3 linked regions of the Coturnix japonica genome follow. The protein of the gene in region 1 purifies or fractionates together with the protein of each later gene. This does not show direct contact. Links are inferred from orthologs where the notes say so. Each region holds a gene or a part of one and is shown in the gene's direction. Other genes may lie near its edges. The genes, in order: LRRC59, YBX1 and STAU1.

The links.
Region 2: the proteins of LRRC59 (region 1) and YBX1 purify together in Homo sapiens (co-immunoprecipitation; 3 studies listed by BioGRID and IntAct, with this or other methods). This does not show direct contact. The link is inferred for Coturnix japonica from reciprocal best matches to the Homo sapiens genes LRRC59 and YBX1.
Region 3: the proteins of LRRC59 (region 1) and STAU1 purify together in Homo sapiens (affinity purification with mass spectrometry; 3 studies listed by BioGRID). This does not show direct contact. The link is inferred for Coturnix japonica from reciprocal best matches to the Homo sapiens genes LRRC59 and STAU1.

What each region holds. Positions count from the first base shown.
Region 1 is NC_029533.1:9,092,995-9,100,451, forward strand, and holds LRRC59 (leucine-rich repeat-containing protein 59), read left to right. Parts: upstream 1-2,386; 5' UTR 2,387-2,400; coding exon 2,401-2,664; intron 2,665-2,939; coding exon 2,940-2,999; intron 3,000-3,412; coding exon 3,413-3,571; intron 3,572-3,912; coding exon 3,913-4,017; intron 4,018-4,703; coding exon 4,704-4,776; intron 4,777-5,009; coding exon 5,010-5,183; intron 5,184-5,662; coding exon 5,663-5,907; 3' UTR 5,908-6,449; downstream 6,450-7,457. Other genes in the region: ACSF2 (medium-chain acyl-CoA ligase ACSF2, mitochondrial), read right to left, coding at 867-928.
Region 2 is NC_029536.1:5,558,600-5,566,028, reverse strand, and holds the start of YBX1 (Y-box-binding protein 1), read left to right. Parts: upstream 1-3,417; 5' UTR 3,418-3,593; coding exon 3,594-3,753; intron 3,754-4,097; coding exon 4,098-4,161; intron 4,162-7,429. UniProt on the Homo sapiens protein: DNA- and RNA-binding protein involved in various processes, such as translational repression, RNA stabilization, mRNA splicing, DNA repair and transcription regulation.
Region 3 is NC_029535.1:5,661,969-5,669,550, forward strand, and holds the start of STAU1 (double-stranded RNA-binding protein Staufen homolog 1), read left to right. Parts: upstream 1-3,692; 5' UTR 3,693-3,851; intron 3,852-7,582. UniProt on the Homo sapiens protein: Binds double-stranded RNA (regardless of the sequence) and tubulin.

The sequences.
Region 1 (7,457 bases):
CACGTGCAGCTCCTCATTCGTGCAGATCTGACACGGCCACCTTCCCAGAGCAACGAGTTCTGGGTCTTTTGTATAAAGCAACTGCAAGGAGAGTGGTGAGCCGGCACTGCTCGGCGCTGCCTTCACCTCTTCTTTGCTCTTTAACGCAGCGCAGTTGGCTGCGAGGTTAATCACCGTTTGATTACTTTGTGTTTGTTGACTTTAGTCAGAGGGATGGTGAGTGTTCACAGAGTGCTCGGGTTTCAATTCCAGCAGACCGGCTGTGCTGTCCCGTGTGAGCCTTTCCCTCCTGCGCTGGTTCTGCCCAAAGCACAAGTACCGCTCAGTGCTAAGAGCAGAATTTCAGGCGTCTTCACGTTACTAGAAAGTTTATTCTCAATACTCGGTGCGAGTCACGGTTCCTGCCACCCAGCTTCACCCGGAACGCTGGGCTGGAGTCCAACCTGCAATCAGCGTTCTGTGCTGCTGCCCTCCTGATCCTCTTTAGAACAGATGTTGAGACGGTACCTCCCCATCACAGCGCAGCTGAAAAGAATTACCTGCATGCGAACCCTGCTACTTCTTAGAAGTCGCGCCTCCGGGTAGGATTAGAGGCAGAATTTCAACTAATCCTTCCAAGCATCTCCGAAGCCAATTGCTTTCCCGTCGCCGTTTTTCCCAGGAGCTCGTTTCAAAAGGCAGCGTTAAACAAAAGCAAGAGCCGACCAGCTGCAGAGCTCGGAGCCACGGCCCCGCCGGCCCCGCACCGCCCTGCCCAACAGCCTCTGCACGGCCCCGCAGTCCCCCCGTCCCCTCCATCCCCCTCACCTTGCACCCGGCCCCCGGTAGCTCCCCCCCTCCCCCCCACCTCCCAGCCCCGTCCGTACCGCGCACGCAGGAGGAGCAGCCCGCGGCGGGGCAGAGCTGCGAGCAGCGCGGCTGGAGCCATGTGTGCGGTGATGGCAGAACCGGGGGGGCCGGGCCACCTTCCCGCTCCGCTCCGTACGCGGCTCCGGTGGGGGCGGTGCGTGGCACGGTTCGGCCCGGCCTCCTCAGCCCCGGTTTGGCCTCGCCTGGCCCCGGGGAGGGCAGGGCTTGGCTTGGCCGGCCTCGCCCCGCAACACCCCGGCCCCGGAGGAAGGAGTGGGGGTGGGAGCTGGGACCCCTACTCACCGCCCCCCACCACTGCCAGGTAGAGCAGGTTGCAAAGAATCTTCTCTGCGTGAGGTATCCCATTAGAGCAATGGGGGACGGGGATGCTGCGTGTCCCAGGGCACGGCCGTGGCTTCCCGGGATCCCTCCTTTCCTTCCCGGCCACTGGCTCGCTGCTGACAGCACTGAACCCCGCCGCCCTGCTCGCTTCCCTTCCCAGCTCCCTGCCCTGCAGCAATGTCCCTCTGCTCAATCCCAGCCTCAAGCACTACGCTGCAGCCGCCCTGAACCCTACAAGCAAACCCAGTGCCTTGGCTGACACGGACTTTGCTACAAGGACTGAAATTGACAAGGCAACCAGCGCTGCTTGCTTCTGGTTTTCTGCATCTGTCAGAGCTCTATGAGTCATTAATTGATTTCAAGCCTTATTCACATGAGTTATCACAGTTACCACTTCACTAACAGCTTTCAGCACTCCCTGGCTGTCTGTGCCCCACCACATGCAAACAGAGCAGTGAGGAGATGCAGAGCTGGGCACGCCAAGGGAAGGGGGAGGCAGCACCCAGAGGAGCCCTGCAGCACACGGCAGCACTGACACAGGCGCAGAAGGGCTGGCGTGCATGGCATTCCTTGTAGCAAATGACTGATGGACTCTGGGCACTGCTGGGAGCCGGGGTATAAATGTGGTACCAGAAGGTAACCTGTGTCTCAAACATCACACGGCCATTAACCAGGCGGTGCCACCAGCAGTGGGCTGAGAGGTGGCCTGATTCTCACCCAGCCACTGACCTGCAGGACGATCACTAGCAGTTCATTTTGCAACCCCTCTGCCCAGATGGGCACCAGAGTTCAGCAATGGGAGATGCACAACAGATCTTATGAACAAGGGCATCAACACTGGCTGCAGAGAATCTCAGAAATCAAAGCTATAAAATATGCTCACAGCACAACCTCATCATGAAATGCTGATTGCAACCAGAGGAAAACAAAAATCAGTGTCCGTGATAAAAACAAACAAACAACAAAGAGGTGTAAGACCTCCTGTCCCCAGCACAGATCTGCCCTCTGAACAAGTAAGTGCACATATGTCACAATGCGTGTTTGGGCTCAGAAACTCAAAGCTTGTCCTCACCATAATCCCGTTACTGGGGAGCTCTGATTTGGTTCTATCTCAGGAAAAACTCTTCCACCGACTTTTCTGGCCGTGGGTCACCCGGGACAAGAACAACAGAGCACTTTGCTGGCGGAGCTTTTGGATCAGAGGAGAAGATGCAGAATTCCTCCTCGCAGAGCGGAACGCCTCGGTCCAGCTGCAGCTCCCGAGAGCCGAGTTCGGTGTCCGTCCGGTGGCGGCGCTCCGGGCCGGCAGGGGGCGCTGTGCAGCTCCGCGGTGCGGACGTGGACGCGGAAGTGGCTGGCGGGGCGGCCATGGCGCGGGGCGGCGGCAGGGCGAGCAGCCTGAGGGACAAGTTGGACGGCAACGAGCTGGACCTGAGTCTGTGCGGGCTGAGCGAGGTGCCGGTCAGGGAGCTGGTGAGCGTGCGGGGCGATGCCGGCTGCGGGGCAGCAGCGCCGTGACCCGCTGTGCGGGGCTGGGCAGCAGATGGTGCCGGGTCTGTTTGTCAGCGCTGCCCGTCCGTGCCAATAACTGCGGCTTTTCTCTTTAAATAAAGACACAGTCCCGGCTGCCGGCCCGTCGGGATACAGTGTAGCTCCGCGGAAGGGCCGATACAAAAGTAGCACCTTCCAGAAGCTCTCTGTGCCTGCACCGCATCCCTGCGCTCATCCCGTACTTCTCTCCCTTTCAGGCTGCGCTTCCAAAAGCGACCGTGCTGGATCTGTCCTGTAACAGCCTGGTTTCCTTGCCGGTAAGATGCCCGACCGCCCTGTGACGGTGGAGCAGGGCTGGTAGGAAATACCGGGCAGGGCTCCTTAGTGCTCCTGCAGCCCTTGGCTCAGTGTGAGCTGGGGGCTGCTGCCAAAGCAGGGCAGGTAACGAGGCAAACATCAGCAGCACTGAGCAGAGAGTGCAGAGCCCTCCTGCCAAAGACCCGGTGTGAACACAGAGCGGGTCCAGCAGCCGCAGAAATCCAGTTGTTTCAGCTGTATTGCTGCTCACCGCCATCTACATCACTTTCCTGAGGCAAAGGGAGCGGGGGGTTCTCCCCCACCCCAGCTGTGTGGGAAGCTGAGGATCTGTGGCCTGTATCAGGTGCAGACCCTCCAGCACATCCCCGCAGGCCGATGCTGAGATGCTTTCCCTGCTTTGTGCTTGTTTCAGTCAGATTTCTGCAGTTTGACGCACCTGGTGAAACTGGATTTGAGTAAAAATCGGCTCCAGCAGCTGCCCGTGGACTTTGGGCGCCTGGTCAGTCTGCAGCACCTGGACCTGCTCAACAACCGCTTGGTCACGCTGCCCGTCAGCTTCGCACAGCTCAAGGTAAAGCCGTCAGCCGGGCGGTTACGTAAAGCTTTGGGATGCAGCCCAGGGTCTTGTGATCCTGCTCGAGTTGATTTCTCTGGTGAAGCATCCATCCATCCTGCTGACTGCTAGTCCAAAATCCAGCCGTCTCTGCACCGCAGCCCGGTGGAAATTCTCTCCCATCTATTGAGAGCACCGAGCTCGCTGCTTGTCCTCTGTGCCCATTTCATCATCCTTGGGAAAACCGAGTGACTGCTTCTGCTTTGAATGTCTTAAATAGCCACGAGTCTGTCGTGCTGTTTGTGGTCAGCTGCCTGCAGTGTGCTCTGACAGCCTGTCCTCCGCGTCCCTTCCTGCAGAACCTGAAGTGGCTGGATCTGAAGGACAATCCCCTGGATCCTGTTCTAGCTAAAGTAGCCGGAGACTGCCTGGATGAGAAGCAGTGCAAGCAGGCAGCGGTCAGGGTAAGGAACCTGCCTGCTCTTTTACTCTTGTTTCTTGTCTTTGGTGGCGATGTTTCTTCCTCTCTTTACTGAGCAAGCTCTAAAGTTCCTTCAGCCAGTGAGGTGCCAGTTCTCTGCACTGATTTTACTGCATCCATGGCTACAGAGAAAACAACTGAGCTGAGCGGGACTTTCCTCCCTTAGTAGAATTAAGAGGACTAAATGCTGCTTTGCTGAGGAACTGAAGGCACAATCAGACAAAATAACTTGTGTATAGGCTTTGTTATACTCTACAGTATAAAAATCTTCATAGAAATATTATGGGAAGCCATAGGGTCATGTAAATAGCTGTTGCTGGGATTCGTGGAGTAAAAATAGTTAAAATATGTACTTCTGTTACTGCCTTGCCATGCTCCCGTGAAATAGTTCAGTCTGATGAAACAAGCTGTTCCATGATCCTCTGTAACCGATAGCACCAGTTTTCCATATCATTTTAAAGCAGAGACCTCTGTTTCTTAACTGCAAAGATTCATGTAGCAAGACTTCCCTTCAAGTCATCCCTGCAGGGCTCAGTCAGCTGCGGCCATCAGAGCAGATCAATGGTCAGATCCTCTGATCCTTCAGATACGCTGCAGCCATTCCGCTCTGAACTCCCCCCACCGTGAGCCTTGTGCAGACATCTCAACTTGTTCTCTTGGACCTTGAAGGTACTGCAGCACATGAAAGTGATCCAGTCCGAGCAGGATCAAGAAAGGCAACGAAAGCTCCAAGCAGAGCGAGGTAAGCACGAAGTCCTCACGTGCACACTGCTGAATTCTGCCCATAGAAATGATTGCCAGCAGGCAAATAGCTGTAACTATCGGAATTCTGAGCAGGGTAGAATGGCTGGGTGGAGAAAGACAACCTGGGACACTATGCTGGCTCTTGCCTTCCTGCCAGAATCATAGGATGGCCTAGGTTGGAAGCTACCTTAAAAATCATGTAATTTCAACCCTACTGCCATTAATCCCCAGAAATGGAAAAGAAGCGTGAAGCAGAACAGCGAGCCAGGGAGGCTCAGGAGAGGGAACTGAGGAAGAGAGAGAAGGCAGAAGAAAAGGAACGCAGACGACGGGAATACGATGCTCAGAGAGCTGCAAAACAGGAGGTGGAAAAGAAAACTAAAAAGGAGACTGCGCAGACCCGAAGTAAGTAAGAACTCCACAGGGAGTTCAGGTAAAGTGTATTTTAATGTCTGCATTGTGGAAAAGAGTGAACAAGACCACTGGCACAGAACTGCATTATGCTTAACCTGCATTATAGCTTTGATAATGCCAGACTTGCATTCATGCAGCTCAGGTACTGAGTGAGACCAGGAGTGGGGGAACTGCCAGATTACATTTCATGAAGTTCTGAGTGTTCCTATGAGCTTCCTTTCCACTCATTTAATCTTAGATGTACTGAACTATGGTTTAAAAACAGATCTTGTGCAGCACACGGATGCTCTACTCCTTTCTCAGTTCTTCCCATGAAAGCAAGTCTCATGCTTTTCACCTTAAGTAATGAGTTTTTTGAGAAAACGTGAGCATAGCACAGGCTAAAAAGCATGATGCTGGAGCATCGCATAGACTGTTAAGGATATCTGAATAATTCCTCACATTCTGCCTTGCAAACATTCTTTTTGCAGAGCCTGCCTCCAGTTCTCGCCCACCTCAGCCAGCCCGGCACAAGCACTCGTGGTCACGGTCGGTGCTCAGGGTGTTGCTGCTGGTGCTGCTCTGCATCCTCTGCACTTTGGCTGTCTGCAAATTGACAGAGCTGCAACACCAACCACTGTGTGTCAGTGTGAACACTCTGTATGAAGACGTAGTTGCTGCCGTGCAAAACCACAAAACCCTGCAGAACATGCTACAGCAGAACTCACAGCAGTGATCGTCCTGGATGGGCACTTGCTTTGTCAGCATCTCCTTTCACCATCCACGCAGCCAGAATTCCTATGGAATTGTGTTCTGATGAAACTGCTTTTTATCCGTCAGCATTAATTTGCTGGTCCACTCCGCATAGAGTTATTGTTTGGATCATCGTTGCTGTGCATGTTTCTCAGTTGGCCTGTCACTCCCATCATCTGCCTAGATTAACTTAATACCACTCACCTCCAAGGGACTTACACTTAGATCTGAAGACACAGAAAGATGTCAATTTATAGGAGTGGGGAAAAAAGACTTTCAGTTACCTAGGTAGTTGTAGCTCAGTAATGGAGGTATGAGTTTTTTTAATACATATCCATTTCTCGCTCTCGTTTCTATTAGTGCTAAAACTGATGACATGGCTGTATGGGAGTATTATATGTAGGCCTACTCCAGGACCAATTACATTTGTGGAATGGCTGTGCATCTGTATGTTGGAGTGAAGAAGCTGATGTACTATTGAAAGAAACTGAATGTTTTCAATATAACATTTTTTGCATCAATTTATCTGAAGTGAGTATTTATACTGCTAGCACAGGATCCTGTTTCCTCTAATTAGGTACCTAGAGACAGCTAAAACTGATTTCTGACTGCGTACAGTAATCACTCGTTTTAGCCAACTAGGACCAACAAAGGAGCTACAGCTCCATAAGGGCTTCTTGCCAGCCTGCAGTCTTGTCAAAAAACGTGTGAGAAGGGGGGGGATCTGACACATACAGACAGGAGTGAGCTGCTGCAGCAGCACACAGCGCTGGGTGGCACTGTTGCAGCAGCACAGCCTGGCACAGACTCACCTTGGGGATGTTGCAAAGGTTGGGAGGTTTGGCACATTGTCTATAGAAGAAAACTCAGCCGTGTGAAGGCATAATAATTCTAAATAATCTCCACACAGAGGAAAGCCAAACAAGTTTGTCATATCCTCACAGGGTTCGTGATTGTTAAAACAAGTTGAAATGTAAATGTAATGATGTAAGTGCAGGTTTCAGAATAGCCATGCTACAAGCTCCACAAACAAATACCTGTGTTTGTCACCTGATCTACTCCCTCTTTTGTAATACCTGGAATGACTGCTGACTGCATTATCACACTGACACGAGGAATGGCAATTCCTCTGTTCCTCTGTTATTGCACTGTTACAAGTCATTTATACCATTTCATATCAATGACCAAGGTCATTATTGAAACAGTAAACCTCCACCCTTTCATGGCTTTACGATACACCTGTACTTCTCTCATTACCTTTCAGAAGAAACCAACAGCATGGATTTAAAATAGAAGGACAGAGAGGCTTCCCATCCCTCTGGCTTAGCAGCACATTGTACAATTTTTCTAAGCTTCCTTGAAACAGCTTTAGGTTTTGGTTTTGGTATTTAACTCATCCTTTAAATGTCATTGTTTACTATCCAGAAACACAGCAAACAACATTCAAAGCAACATACCTGCTGGTCAGCACCTGGCAGCAGTCTGCAGCTCTACCATCTACAAGAGAGTCCTGCTTAGGGCAGCAAATGCACG
Region 2 (7,429 bases), on another chromosome or scaffold:
GCTGCTCTGATAGCACAGTTTTTTTACCAGCTCAACTCCCTGAGGCAGTTTCCCTTCAGGCTACATAAAGACCAAAGGCAGCACTAGAGGGAAAGGATTTTGTGGCTGCAGTCTGAGGGAAGCTGGAGTCAGCCCTGCTTTGGGCAGGGTTAGGCTGCCTTGAAGCCTCACCTTCAGAAAGTAGTGGATGAATTCAGCTACTCAGGCAGGAGGGAGTGGAGGGGTCATTAACCTGCAGCGAAGTGCCCTCTCCTGTTGCTACAGACAGCAGAGCATCCATGTGAGGTGCAGGCAGGGATCAGGGGCAGTGCTGCAGAGAGGACTCGAGCCTTCCTGCTCTCTGCAGCCATAGAGCAGCTACTGTGGGAGGGCTATGTTACAGAGCCTGACCTTAATTCAGAAGTACATCACTGTCCTCAAAGGGAAACATTTCCAGCATTACTCAGGCTTTATTTTGGTTGAACCAAATAGGTGCAAGGCTGAGCTCAGACTAACACAGAGTAATCTGTTAGCGTTTTTCACTATAAAAGCACCACAGGCATGTGAGCAAATCAGATTTCAATGTGTCAGGCTGCAGCTTATCAAAAATCTGCTGTATGAGCCGTTTGGTTGCTGACTTCTCGGATTTCAGCAGGCAGGCAACGACAAAAACACTCCACAGTTTATAACCATCCTTTATATGATTCCAGAAGATGTCTGCTGTTACCCACCAAGACATCCCTGCTGGCGTGGGGAAGCCTTTCATATCTGCAGTGCTTCAAATACTGTTTGATGAAGTGACAGCATGGAATGCGATCACTCCTGGTGTTTGTAGGCTTTTGGAGATGGGGGCAGCTTTCTCAATAGGCTTCTTGCTGATAGAAAGAGCTGTGCTGGTGGGCTGGGTCCCCTTTAGGACTGTCCTTAGGCCCAGACCTGTTGGTCATTTTTCTTTGGAGCCTTTATGTGTGATCTCGGGTCAAAATCCAGCTGAATATCTTCGGTTCTAGGCATCTGCATTCTTCCTAGCCACACCTTAGGGAACATCTTTCTTCACACTGCTGCCTTTCAGCTGCCTCTTGACAGGAACGGGGTCCCTCCCCCCCAATTTCAGACAGTTAAATGAGTTATTTGTAAAGATCCTTTCAAATCAGCTCAGAGAAACTGGCAGTTTTGGTTATAAACCCAAAGCCAGTCGCAGGTGTCTGGACTGGAGACAGGTTTGACACGAGCTGGTGCAGCAGGTAGCGCACACTTCAGCACCCTGTGCTGCTGTTGTGGGATGCTGAAGGTGGCTGCTGAGCATCTGGGACTGTTTGTTCTCCTCTGTTTCAGTGCTCCGTTATGGGTGGACAGGCCTTTCCCAGCTCCACGCAGCTCCAGCCAGTATCCCCACTGTCCCGGTCCTCCTCACAGATGTGCTCCTGAAATAACTAAATAATTGGAATATATCTTCTTTTTTTTTTAAAGTATTGAAATGTAAATAAAGGATTTTGTTTAATATGTGCGTAGTGGATATCAGTAAACATGTTTGGGAGTGGATTCTTTAGGCAAAAAGGCCTGCTGCTTTCATTGTGCATTGCCCCGAGCTGATTCAGCAGAGAATGTTTCCCTTGTGTGGTGGTGAGAGACATTGCTTCAGGGCATTTGCTAAGGGGAAAGCAGAGATGAAAGGAACACACCTGAGCTGTGCTGCACCAGCGCTGCCTGTGGGGCTGCCCTGGCAGAGAAGTTCTGGGGGTTGTCCTGAATCTTTCTACATGTCACTTTATTGAAGCACAGGACAGGATCAAGGCATGATGGGCAGGGTTTTCTGGGCTCTGGGGTGAGTTTAGTTCTGCTGTTAGTCCTCTGGGCCAAAAGGCATCAGGTTCCTTTAAGCCACTGGTGTTAGAGGAATTAACATGGGTGTTAGAACGGTGTTAGTAGAAGGCATTTTGTCCAGCAAGCAGAGAATGAGCAAGCTGTAGAATTCAGGACTCAGAGTCATTACAGAGAACAGAGTTGAGGCTGAAGGTTTGTGGTAAACCTCTCATTGTCAGACTGGGATTGCAGGCTTGTCTGCTGGGCAGCTTGAAGTCACCCTTTGTGGGTGCTGGGCACCAAGGTGAGTTTCCCCTGCAGCACTCTCAGTCTGTGCTGTCACGTGCAGCTGTTTTGTCCCATCCCAACCTGCTCCTGGCTCAGCTCGATGCTCCATGAGCTTTGCCTGAGGTGCAGAGTGTGGGGCTGTCTGAGGGTGGTGTGGGCTGACGCTAATGTGTGATCCTTGTGGGCATGCTTTGGTGTCATCTTCTATCTAACAGCTGTTTAAAATCTACAGGACAGGCTGTGAGACTGCACAGCTGCTGAGAACACTTGCACTTGATTCTCTCCTGCTCAGCGTGTCTCACTTGTACATGCAGTACACTGGGTGATGAAGGAAACATAGCATCCCCATAGCACCCCCATGGCACCCCATAGCATCCCCACAGCATTGCCATAGCACCCCATAGCATCCCTGTAGCGTCCCATAGCACCCCATAGCATCCCTGTAGCGTCCCATAGCACCCCACGGCATCCCATAGCATCACCATAGCACCCCATAGTATCCCATAGTATCCCATAGTATCCCATAGTATCCCATTGTATCCCATAGTATCCCATAGTATCCCATAGTATCCCATAGTATCCCATTCTGGCTTTGCACGGCCAAGGTTTCTCCTAGGAGCCAAGGGCTGAACATTCCCCCACGGAGGATAAAGCTGGGCCCTGTTCCCATCTGTGGGTTATTGGTGAGCAGAAAAGGAGACGTTTGTGCTGATGGGACGCACCCAGATGCCACTTTGCCATATAAAGCACATATATCTGCTCCGTTTGACACCCGATGCATTGAGTATCACCCTCCCAGCTGTGATATTAAACCGGAGCCGGTTTAACCGCCCGTTCCCCATTGCAGTCACAGCCCGGGGGTGTCTCTGGGAAGCGGCTCATTAAACCCGGCTTTGAGCAGCGCTCAGAGCTGCGGCCTGGCTGTGAAACGGCCCAATTACAGGCGTGTGCCTCGAGGACACACCGTGCTGTAATGACGGCGGCTCCTGCTCCACATCCGGGCCGTCCCCGCGGCCCGTTGGCTCGTGTTACCGTCGGTCCGTTACGGACACACCGGGCACAACGGCCGGACCCGCAGCGCCGCGACCTCGGCCCCCTCAGAGCCGGCGACCAATCAGAGCTGGGAGGCGGGGAGAAAGAGTAGGCGGGAGGAAAAAGAAGCCCAGCAACCGCCGGCTGCGCGACCAATGGGAACGCGGGGATGAGGAAAGGCAGGCGGCGCGGCCAATGGGCTTTCAGGGAATGGCTAACGCCGGGAGGGGAAAGGCGCACGGGATTGGTTCGCAGAATGACGGGCGGGGCGAGCGGCCAATAGCGTCGCGCGCGGGCGGGGCGCGCGGGGTGGCTAGCCGGTGCGGGCCGCCATTGTGGCCAGTTCGATCGGTATCGGGAGCGGAGAGCGGAGCTCAGCGAGCCCGGAGCAGGGAGCAGCCCCCCCACGGCCGGCCTCAGTCACCATCACACCGCGGGAGGCGGCGCAAACAGCCAGTCACCACCACCGTCCGCACCGAACAGCCGCCGCCATGAGCAGCGAGGCCGAGACCCAGCCGCCCGCCGCCCCCGTCCCCGCGGCGGCTCCCGCAGCCAACAACGCCGAGTCCAAACCCAACGGCGGCAGCGGGAACGGGAGCGGCGGGCTGGGATCGGCGGCACCTCCCGCCGGCGGGGACAAGAAGGTCATCGGTGAGGGACGGGGGCAGCGGGGGGCGGGGGGGCCGTTCCCCACACAGCCTCCATCTCCTCACATCCACCCCCTCCATCTCCATTCCATCCCCTCCATCCCCCCCCCCTCACATCCCGTTGGCCGTTGATGCGCGCGCCCGCTCCCCTTTCCCGCCCCGTTCTCCCCCCCGCGCGCGCGCCGCTCTCCGCCGGGCCCCGCGTGTCGGGTGGGGGCGGGGCGTTGCGGCTCAAGATGTCCGCCACGCGGGGCCTTTGTGTGCGCCGCCCCGCCACGTGCCGCGCATGACGCCGCGCTCTGCTCGTCCTCCTTCACCCCCCCCCTCCCCTCTCTCTCTCTCTGCCAGCAACGAAGGTTTTGGGAACAGTGAAATGGTTCAACGTACGGAACGGTTACGGCTTCATCAACAGGTGAGCGGGGCGGCGGTGGGGGTGGGGGGGCGCGTGGGGGGTGGCGTGGCCTGCGGTATAAGGCCTTAACTGCTTCCCGGCGCGGTGCTGCGGGCTGTCAGTACGTTGTTTAAAGCTCGGTGTGAAGTTGAGGCTGTGAGGAGTCAGAGGGATTGATGAGCTTCAGTGAGAGTCATGAGCTGGGAAGGAGCAGCTGTGGGCATCAGCGCAGGCTGCTGAGGGGATATCTGCAGTGAGGGACCTGGTGGCCAATAGGGTGACTATAAACCAGGAAGGTTGTGTCTATAAACCAGGAAGGTCAGCAGCACCCCACAGTGTTGTTAGCAAGGTGAGGGAGGTTCTCCTCTCTGCTCTGCCATGGGGAGGCCACATCCAGAGCACTGGGCCTGGTGCTGGGCTGCCCAGTTGAAGGCAGGCAGGGAACTGCTGGCAGAGCACAGTGGAGGGCTGGAATGAGATCAGGGCCTGGAGTGTCTCCTGTATGAGGAAAGGCTGAGAGGGGATCTTAGCACTGCTTCTAAGGAACTAAAGTGCAGGAGTCAAGTCTGTGGGGGCAGACTGTTGTTGGTGGTGTGCAGCACAGAGCAAGAGGCAGGGAGTAGAAGCTGGAACACAGGAAGTTCCATAATAGCACAAGGAAGAACTTTACTGTCAATAGTGGAGCAGTCAGCCCAGAGTCGTGCTTACTTATCTACAGATGTTAAAGACCAAAGGATAATCACCTCTGTGACCTGTGCTGGGGAACACACCTTAGCAGGAGGTTGGGCTTGATCTCTAGAGATCCCTTCTGACCCATACAGTTCTGTGATTATGTGATGTCTAGGCCTTGAGAAACGTGCTGTCAGGCTGTTTTCTCTGCCAGCAGCTGATCTAGAGAACGGTTCTTCCCTCAGTCACTTTGGAGTGCCTGCAGGTGGTGGTGGTTCTGCAGAGCCCTGTTTTTCTATGTGGTGTTGTCATGGAACAGCCCTGGAGGATGTTCCTCTGCCGGGTACCTGGGATGCAGGAGGCCCCAGGGCAGCTCTGTTTCCTGCTGGAGTTCACTGCTGCTTCTCTCGTTTGTGACAGCACGTGGCTCTGAGGAGCAGGAAAGTGCTGTGAGCTCCATCAAGTTACCACGGTGAAGAAAGATACATGGAATGGGAGCTGGTGACTTCAAATCTGCTGTCACAGGGGTTGACAGGAGGAGGCTGGGGAATCCTCCTCCAGGGAAGCAAGTGTTGGTACTGATGTTTTCAGGAAAATTTGGCCTAAATGTCATCTTTTCATCTACCTGTTATACTGTGGCCTGGTCTTCATCCTCTGAGCTCTGACTGGTGAGCAGCTCTAAAGCCTGGCCCAGTGGTGTTTGAGTGTCAGGTGTCAAACAGCTGTTAGAGGAGCCCAGCAGCATCCCCTGCTCCTGGAGGTGCGTGCACAGCTCCAGCTCACTAACAGCCTCTGGGAGGGTTTTTTCCTGTTCCACTCATAGCTGCTACATGAGTCAAGTGTGGAAGCAGGAGCAGCTAGTTAAGACATCTGAATGGCTTCCCCGCTCATATTATATTGGCATCTGTTTAATCCCTGAGGATGCTGTTCCTAATGAGAAACACAGCGTGAGCTCCTGTTATCAAGAGATGAGAACTGAGCTGGAGCACATTTCCCCTGCTCCCAAATAGCTCAGGCTCACCACAAGGGAAGCCGCAGGAGCTTTGTTTGGGTCTGCTCGCAGCTCACGTTGGCTTTGGTTGTAGCCTGTTGTTGTATATTAATATTAAGTACGTCTATTATTCCCTTCTGAAATATTAGCTTGGATTCTGTCAGCTGTCAATGAAACAACTGAATGTGCTGGCTGTTGAGCTGCTCTTGTTGCCATAATTGGGGCTGCACACTGATAACTGGCTTTGTATTGACAGCTTTGCTGTGTTTTCTTAATCACCGCTTGCTCTTCTGATTTTTATTACTATTTTTAGTAAGAGGTTAAAGATACTAAGAGCATCGATGAGCTGAGTGCCTCACAATGGGCAGCTCCTGTTGTGCTTCCTGTCTTATTTACAGATGGTTATTCCCACACCATCCGTGTGGCAGCTCATGTGCTGCTCCTCGATGGGCTTAGTGCAGAAATCCCATGGCAGACACTGGGTTTTAGAATTAACCAGGAGGGTTCTGAACAAATCACATCTCCACCTTAATCTGCTTCAGTGTAACTGAGTCGTTTACTGAGCCAGAGCTCCAGCATGATCTTCAATGGGAAATGTGATGTAGAAAGGGCTCTAAATGAAATGAGGAGCAGCTGATGTGCTTGGAGGAATGGGGTTTGGGAGGAGTGCAGAGCATCCACACTTGAAGAGCTCTGCATTTGTTGGGAGCACAGTGAGCACTGACTGAATGCAGGCGCTGGGCTTCCCTCAAGGCCCTCAGCTGGAACATCTATGATCTCATGTTGTGTTTGTAAGAGTTTTAGGCTTTTTAAGAGCTTCTGGGTGCTGCCTGGTGGGGCTGGGGCTGAGCTGATCACCTTCTGTAGCCCTTTGGATGAACTGTTTTCCGTCAGCTCTGAGGTCAGTAGTTCTTGCAGGCGTCAGTTCCATAAGGAAATGGGTGTGTGGTGCTGGTACTGTGTGACGGGGCAGCTGTAACTTGGATCGAGTTGTTCACAGTATTGTTATTGCCGTGTGTTAAAGGCACGGGGAGGAGTGACTGGCTTTAAATGAGTCCAGTTCTGAGCACTGCAGCACTAGCTGTGCCTATAACATGTATTCTAGGAAATAAAAGGCATTCAGCAGTTGATTCATTGGGCTGTGGAATGACTTGAAGTGACACTGCAGCAAGGCTCAGCTGGTGTGATGTGAGCCTGAGGGCTCACAGCTTGTGAGCGGTGAGCACAGCTCCGGGGCTGTGCTGTGTAACTGTGGAGCAGGAAGCTCCCTGTGCCCTGCTTGTCTGTTAGCCACGCTGCTGCCCTCATAGAGCATTCATCACTGCAGGAAATGGAGCTGGGGACGCAGGCTGTGTGTGCTGCTTTTCATAGCCTGTGATGTCACATCTTCCACTGTGCTATCCCAACTGATGGGCTGTCAGGTGTTTTTCCTCCGAGCCTGTTGGTGGGATATGTGGGGAGGGAGGAAAACACTCAGCACCTCACACAGGTCCCCAACAAGGTCTTTCTTTGAGGCAGCCTCCCCTTAGAGCAGGCTGAGCAGTGCAGAGCTGACAGCTACTTGTCCCGGTGCTCCCCTGCTTTCCCCTCACCCCTAAACAACTGAATTTGAAGCTGGGCCCTCACGCA
Region 3 (7,582 bases), on another chromosome or scaffold:
TATTTTTTTAAGTTACCTGACCACGTAGATCCTGTAGTTGACTTGAATAGTACTGGGGTTTTAAAGTTACCATGCCAGATGAAGCTGGGCATTGTATCAAGAAAGTTACTGAATTTACAGAAGGTAAAACATCAGTCACAATCATCTTTTTTTCCAGTTCTTCTGTAATATCTGGCTGCCATGTGGGAATGCATGTTGGCCATCTCCCTTATTGTGTAAAGAGTTACTTGTCAGACAGTGAATTAAACTGTTTAAGTGCCTAAAAAATGCATTATATGAATTGGCATCGACAGGTTTTCTTGAATCTAGTCTGTAATTCAGTGTCAGACTGTCTTTTTTTGTAGGGATAAAGTGAAAGCAAGTCTCTAGAATGCAATACTGCAGCGATGGCCATGAGAAGCATTTGCCTTAAGGCTGGTGAGACTGTGATGAGTGTTGCAGGTTTGCAGAAGTGCTATAGCAGAGTAAAAATTTCAGTACGTTGGAATAGGTATGTGATGTTTACAAGGAACCGAATGCCTACGACTGTCAGTGTTAATTGAGCTGGGGATGTTCATAACCTGCAAGCTGACAAAAACTCTCAGGTTGCTGCCTGCTCTATGGTTTGGCCTTTCTTTTGGATAATAGGGAGAACAATTCTTCATGTCAATCTCGAAGAATCAAAACGAAATTGGTACTGCTTGTCATGTAACAGTAATTTGACACGTAATTTTGGCATCTGGTCAAATAGACAGCCTGTGTATGAGTGCTAGAATGGGGTTCTTCAGTGCAGTGCAATAGTAAGGGGCTGATTGTGTTGGATCATCCTCGTTCTGCAGTTATAGTGTGGTTTCTTTGAGGGACACACTGAGCATACAGAGTGAACAGATTTCTCTTACTTTACTGGTAAGAATGAGAACTCGTTGAGATGGACTGCAGCAAGCCAGAACCTTTCTGAGAAGCAGCCAAGGAAACTCTCGTTAGAATAACAATTTATCTTCACATTCACCATATTGCACTTCCTGCAAGGTGTGTTTTTCACTTGTTGGACAGACATCATGTATGATTAAGTGCCTTCAGATCAACGAATGCTAGTGTATAGCTGTTCATCAGAAGATTCAGAGTTGACTGCCTTAGGCATTGTGGCCATGGCACTGTTAATGATATGTTGTTTAGTCCTGATTACTCTGCAGGTTCCAGAAGGCATACAAGTGTTTATTTACAACATTTAACCTTTCAGGGAAATGACATTTTCAAGTGTAGTGCAGGCACAAAGATCATCTCTTCTTCAGCATACAAGGAAAGGTTAATAGCAGAACCCTCACCTTTATTCAGGTGGAAACATTATTGCTACTTCTGACATCTCCTGTCCTCAAGATTTAGGAAGCAACACAATGTTCCACAGAGCTTTATCTGTTGATTTTAATGGAAACTGACAAGCAGGGCAATAACAGTTTTCAGAAGACTGATGAACTTCTCTGAGCCGCCCTTCAGTGTGTTATTTATTACACAGTTGGACAAATACGAGTTCCCTCAGAAAGCTTGGGCTGGGAACAACTGCTGTCTGTGGATCTTCTGAGGATCTATGAGCATCTACTTGGATTTCAGACGAGTCCTGCACATCGTGGAGCTGTCACCAGTTCTCCCTTGTAACTGATAGTGGTATTACATGTATTCAAGGGAAAAATTATCACTTCTTTTTGAATACAGAATTGGTGAAAGGACATTGTTTTGCATCCCTTGATGCCACAGAACTAATCTGCTGTCCTGGACTATTTAAATCCTACTGACTTCTGGTTCTCAGTTTGTAAATACTGTGTCATCTGTTAATACCAAACACCTTATTCTTTATAACAACAAAAATCCCACAGCCCTCCAGACTACTACATCATCTTTTTGCATGGGTTCTGAATGGACCAGGATGAATCCAGCAATGGCAGCAGAACCTACAAAGTTCTATTTCCTTTTTTCTTCACTTAAACATGTGCTGAAGTAAAAGTCATCCTTCCAACCAGCCAGATGTTCCATTCTAAGAATTACCTGATGAGTCCAGAGCACGTTCCTTCTCACAACTGACTTCTGCTTTCAGAAAGTAGTTTTCTTTAGGCTCTCAGCCCTACTTGAAGGTACCTTCCACCAAGCCGTACTTCTTTGATTGTTGAAGTACTTCTGCACTTGTTCTGTGACCTTTCAATGCGAACATCCTTCCTGTAAAGCTGTCAATGGCCATCCAGATTTGAGCTGTCAGAGGAGCCAAAGAAAAAAAATTAAAGCAGAGAAGAACAAAATGCAATGGAATAAATGCTTTATTTTCCCTTAGCCTCCTCCCCCTATTCACTTAAATGAAGTAATTACTGCCTTACTGTGACTTAGAGGAAATGTGGCTGTAAGGATAGGCAATAGCAGATATAACGGCTTTAAACCAGTTTAGTATCACCCACAAAAGGTAGAGGTCACAGTCAGATAATACAGGAGTTGCTTACCCAGTTTTCTCTCAGAGTAATGAGCCACGTGAGGTCAAAGCTTATACTGGACTTAATGTTTTGTATTCAAGATGAGATTAGAAGTAAATACGTTATTATGAAGTAATTAATAGGAAGCGAAGAGCCAGATAAGCAAAATGGAGGGGGTTTGGCACAACTCCGTGGGATATTGAGCTTAACTGCGTTTTCATTTCCAAAAGCTGTGAAGAGAAATTCACATCCCTTTTATTTCCTTCCAACTCTCACAAGTTGTGAGCTGCAAACAGGCCTCTATCCTGACCCAAAGCTGCTGCACTAAGAATGGAAATAAAACTGAACTTGCAGTGAAATAGTTTTGTATTTCTCTCTCTTCCCCCAACTCGCTGCACAAAAAGCTGTTAATGTAACAGACAACATTCAGCCTTTACAGTAACAGTTACACAATTTCACTTCCTTCTGAAGTTTAACTGTTGCTTGAATGGGATCTAACAGCACAGATGATGCAGCAGACCTCAAGAACATCCAAGCAGGTGTTTGAATGTGATACGGGATATATGTGTCTGTATAAATGGAGAATGGTTTGTAACTGCTACGTTGTCAATTGATGTTATGTGTATCACAGGTTTTCTTTCCGGTATCTTTGGAATCCATAGCGGTATTAAATACACCCATGGATATGAAGCTTTAGATCCGTTCTTGGGTTGTGGTTTGTTTCAGCTCAGTGGGTACTTGTGATTCTCAGCACTGAACATGGAGGCTGTTGTGCTTACAGTGGACTGAAGGTCCATCTGTCAGGTTTGTATTGCTCTGGAAATGGCAGAAATTACCATCATGTCACTTAGTGACACCACAGGGTTTAACCTTGTGATTTAAATTGTGTTTTTAACCATAAACTCGTGATTTAAATTGTGTTTTTAACCATTAAGAACGATAAAATATTCCTAAATCACTCAGTGCTCGCAGTGTCCCTTCCTGCCATATAGGCCTGACCCTGCTCTGGTGGTTGCAGTCCCGGTTGAGCTGTGCCCGCGGTGCACGCTGGGAGTTGTAGTCCCACACACACAGCCGACCTGCAGCTGTGCCGCGAGGCACGCCGGGACTTGTAGTCGCCCTAAAGGAGGCGGTGCTCCCGTCGTCCCGCGCTCCCATTGGCCGAAAGCGCGGAAAGGGGCGTTTCCTTTGGGGCTTTGAGCGCTTCCGATTGGCTGCCCGCCTCCCCCGCCTCCCGCCTCGGTGGCGTCACTTCCTCCCCGGCCGGAGCTGGCCCCGCTCATTCTCTTTAGTGTTTGCCCTGTACCCGCCGCTCCCTCCGCCGTCGCCCCCCGGCCCCCCCCGGGACCCGGCCCATGGACTGAGCCGCCCGCTGGCCCGCCCCGCAGCCGGCCCGGGAGCCGCAGCCCAGGCAGCCAGGTGAGGGGGAGGCGGCCCGGGCTCCCCCCGGTAGCGGGGCGGGGGGTGGCGGCGGGGCCTAGCGAGGCCCTGGGGAGGGGCCCGGCTCCGCTGTCCCCCCGCCCCGCTCCGGGCCCTGCCCAGCTGAGGGGGGAACGGGCAGGTGGCGGGGGGGGCCGCCCCAAAGAGCCGCAACGGGAGCGGCCCCTGCCCTGCCCGCCGATAACAACGGGGGGATCCCGGTAGCACCCACCGGGAGGTGACAGCGGGCGGAACGGCGCCTGCCCTCGGCCCGGCCCTGTCCCGTTTCAGCGTGTGCGGACGATGGTGACCGCCCTCGGAGCGGGGCTGTGTGAGCCGGGGGCTCTCGGGGTGCTGCTCCTCAGGAGCCGCCCGACCCCTCCGGTTGGTGTCAGCACAGCAGCCCGCAGCCTTCACCCCGCGGACATCGCGGCGCTCACCCCTTGGAGGCGGTGGGCAGTGCTGCTTTGCTGCCCGCGGGCCCCGTGCTCTCCTATGGCTGCCCCCCGGTCCCGGTCGGTTGCAGTGATGATGTTTCCCCGTTCCTTGCTCTCGTCACGTAGTTTCTCAGGAGCCGTGGTAGCAACAAGTTCTTGTCGCATCCTTATTGCTCTCTGCCCCGTTTGTGCTCTGTGTGGGGTGGTGCTGTCGCTGGGAGCAGTGACAGCCGCTTCTCGTCGATCTGTATTTTGGGGTGGTTTTTTTTGGGTCCATTTTCTGACAGGTTAAAGGCAAACCTGGAAGAACGTCATTGGGAATTGATAGGCAGCGAGGTGTATCAATAGCAGTGAAATGAGATACCTGCATGGAAGGCCCCTGCCTGCTTTTAGGGCAGTATATTTAAAGAAGTTCTTAAATCCTACCGATGACACACGACCTCAGTGCGCAGCTGCTCCGTCCATGCTGACAGATCATTACTTTCTAAAAACCTTTTCACAGTGAGTTTTGACGACACAGCGATGGCTGTGATGGAGCAGAGCGTCCCTGATTTGTCCATTTATCATCTTGCAATGAGATATCGTGGTACCAAGCAACAAATCTGTGTGCTCAGACTGCTCTGGAGGTGGTAGCTGTCATAACTTAAGCAGATGACCATCACATCCTGGTGAAAGCTTTAGGATTAAATAGTTACAATTGTTTCTGCACGTACCTTTTTCTGATATTGGCTCAGAATTTCATTTCAAAGCTGCTCTGAAGTGTTTTATCACAGAATCATAGGACGGCCTGGGTTCAAAAGGACCACAATGATCATTTAGTTTCACCCCCCCCTGCTGTGTGCAGGGTTGCCAACCACCAGAGCAGGTGAGATAACAATTCTTTGTGATTACTTTAAGTAGACTCTTTCAGCAGTGATTTGTTCTGAGGACAACACGAACTTTCACAAGTGTTTAACATTGTGCTGTCTGGAATCCTTGCTGGGGTTCCTTATTGTGTGAGAGTTCTTGGAGATGTGGCTGGAGCCACGGAGCAGATCTGTGTGTGGTTACCATGTGAGCTGTAATTAGTAACTGTGGCTCTCTGACCTGTCGTACTTCTGGGAGCAGCAAGCAAATATGAAGTGCAGCACCCAGCTGGAAGCAGCCATGTGAGTGAGCGTTCATCTTTGTTGGTGATCACCTCATCACCTTCTAGTTGATTCTCTTGCACTGTTTGGAGCTGTCTGGTTTATGTGCACATCTGTCAGCTCCCTTCTGCTCCTTCAGGTTTTACTTTCAAGTCGTAGCTCTTCATCAGCTTTCTCTAATTCATGACCCGTTCCATTGCTTCTGAACTCTCGTGTCTTATGGAGTTTTATCTTAGAAAGAACAGCAGCTTTCTCTTCAACGAGTGCTGGTTTTGAGATGGTCCTACCCAGATGCTATAGAACAAGATTTGTTGAAGATGAAGGCGCTGCTCAGCTGTGTTTTACGTGCTGTGTAAATAGCCTCGGGTCTATAAAGTTTGAAGTATTGTTTATCTTTATTGGTAGAGTGTATTTATTTACAGTTCAGTTGTAAATGACCAAGTGTTGTTGATGCTGTTACAGAAGCCAAGTGCTTTAGGATTTCATGCTATATACACAGAGCTACTGCTGTGCATTTTTGAGATCTATGTTAGGAAATGAACCATCTCAGCAAACCTGTTGGAATTTGTGGAGATGTGTGTTGCCCCCAAGTGAGTATGCAACAAAAGAAGGAGGTTCTGCCACCATATCTGAGTTATTTAAAGTTCCTTTAGAAAAGGCTGGAGGAATGGAGTTGTTCTGAAGGGTATTTTGCCCAGCAGTGATGGATGCACAGCAGCCTTCCTCAGTCTGAAGCAACGGGTGGCAGCGTGGCTGGACCAGTGGCTGCTCTGCTGTAGGTGACCGTAGGTGTGTGCTGGGCTGGGCTGCCCCAGTCAGAGAGTGCAGTGCCAGAGGGGGAGGCAGTGAGTGCTGTGTATCCCATGGGTCATTGTTTTGGTTGTCTGGATCCCACCTGGGTACTTGCATCTCTTGGTAGAGTTCAGGCTTGGGCTTTTTTTGGTCTCTGTTGAGTGGATGCATTTCAGGGAACCGTCCTGCTTGGTGAACAACCTGTCAGTAATGAGGAAAATGAATCACCTTTGCTCTGCAACTGAAGGGGCAGCAGCTGTTCAGGTGCCTTGTGTTGTGAAACATCCCATTTCAGAAGGAGTTTTTTTGTTTAGATCCTTGTTTTCTGTAACAAAACTCTTTCTTGGTTATTGTCTATGACACAATTTTTAGCTGCTCATCTCAATCTGTAATTTGTGTCCTGATGGGTTTGTCTGGTATCAGTTTCTCATTCCCCTCTGCTCTTGTACCTAAAAGGCCCCTGTCTGCTGCTGGCAGCTCATGAATTGGTGCACAGAAGGTTTTAATGAGATATGCCTGCAAGCTGTGATAGGCGGCTTAATGGCATGTGGTTACGTGTGGCACTCCAGATGTGCATGTCCTAGAGAACAGAACACCTTCACATCTTCTGCTACTGACAGTGAATAAAATATATTCTTTGGGAACTCGGTCTCTGTTGTGTTCTCAGCTGGCCACTCGGCGCTTGGAGCACATCTGTGGTACATCATTGTGAGATCCTCTTTTTCCTAACCTGATCTTTGAGCTGCAGTTGCTGCCCCTCAATGATGGGGAAGGACTGGTGCTGGTGTTGCATCTGTTTGCAGTGGCAGCTCTGAGGCCTCATTCCAAGTGTGTGTTTGTCAATTACTTCAAGTTTGCCAACAGTTCATCTCCATCACCCACAGTGATATGGTGCGTTGCAGTCCTTACTATTAGAAAGTTCTGTCTCCATGTATGTTTAAGCCTGCCACATCTTGCTCTGTCACTTCAGGCATGGAGAAAGATTATTCCTTTCCACCCCAAGAGCTGTGTTGTGCTTGTGGGCTGCTGTTGTCAGCCCCAGCTTGTCAACCCCTCCTCTTCAGCATATGTGAGCCCAAATCCATCCATGTTTCTTATAGGATATACTTCTCTAAAGCTCAGAGGGCCACCTGCTTTCCCTGCTTTATTATTTATTGCTAACCGGGTCCATATTTGTCTCAAGGTGTGGTACCCATGTAGTATGGATGCAGTGCTCCAGCTGAGGGCTCAGTAACACTGATTTGGAGTCATGGGCTGCTTCTCAGGCTGTTCTGCTTCAGGATGATGGTTGCTTTTTACAGAACAGGCTTGGAATTTGCCTTTTTCTGTATCCTCCTCTGTTCGCAGGGTCTGCTGATGACTGGTTACAGCTCTA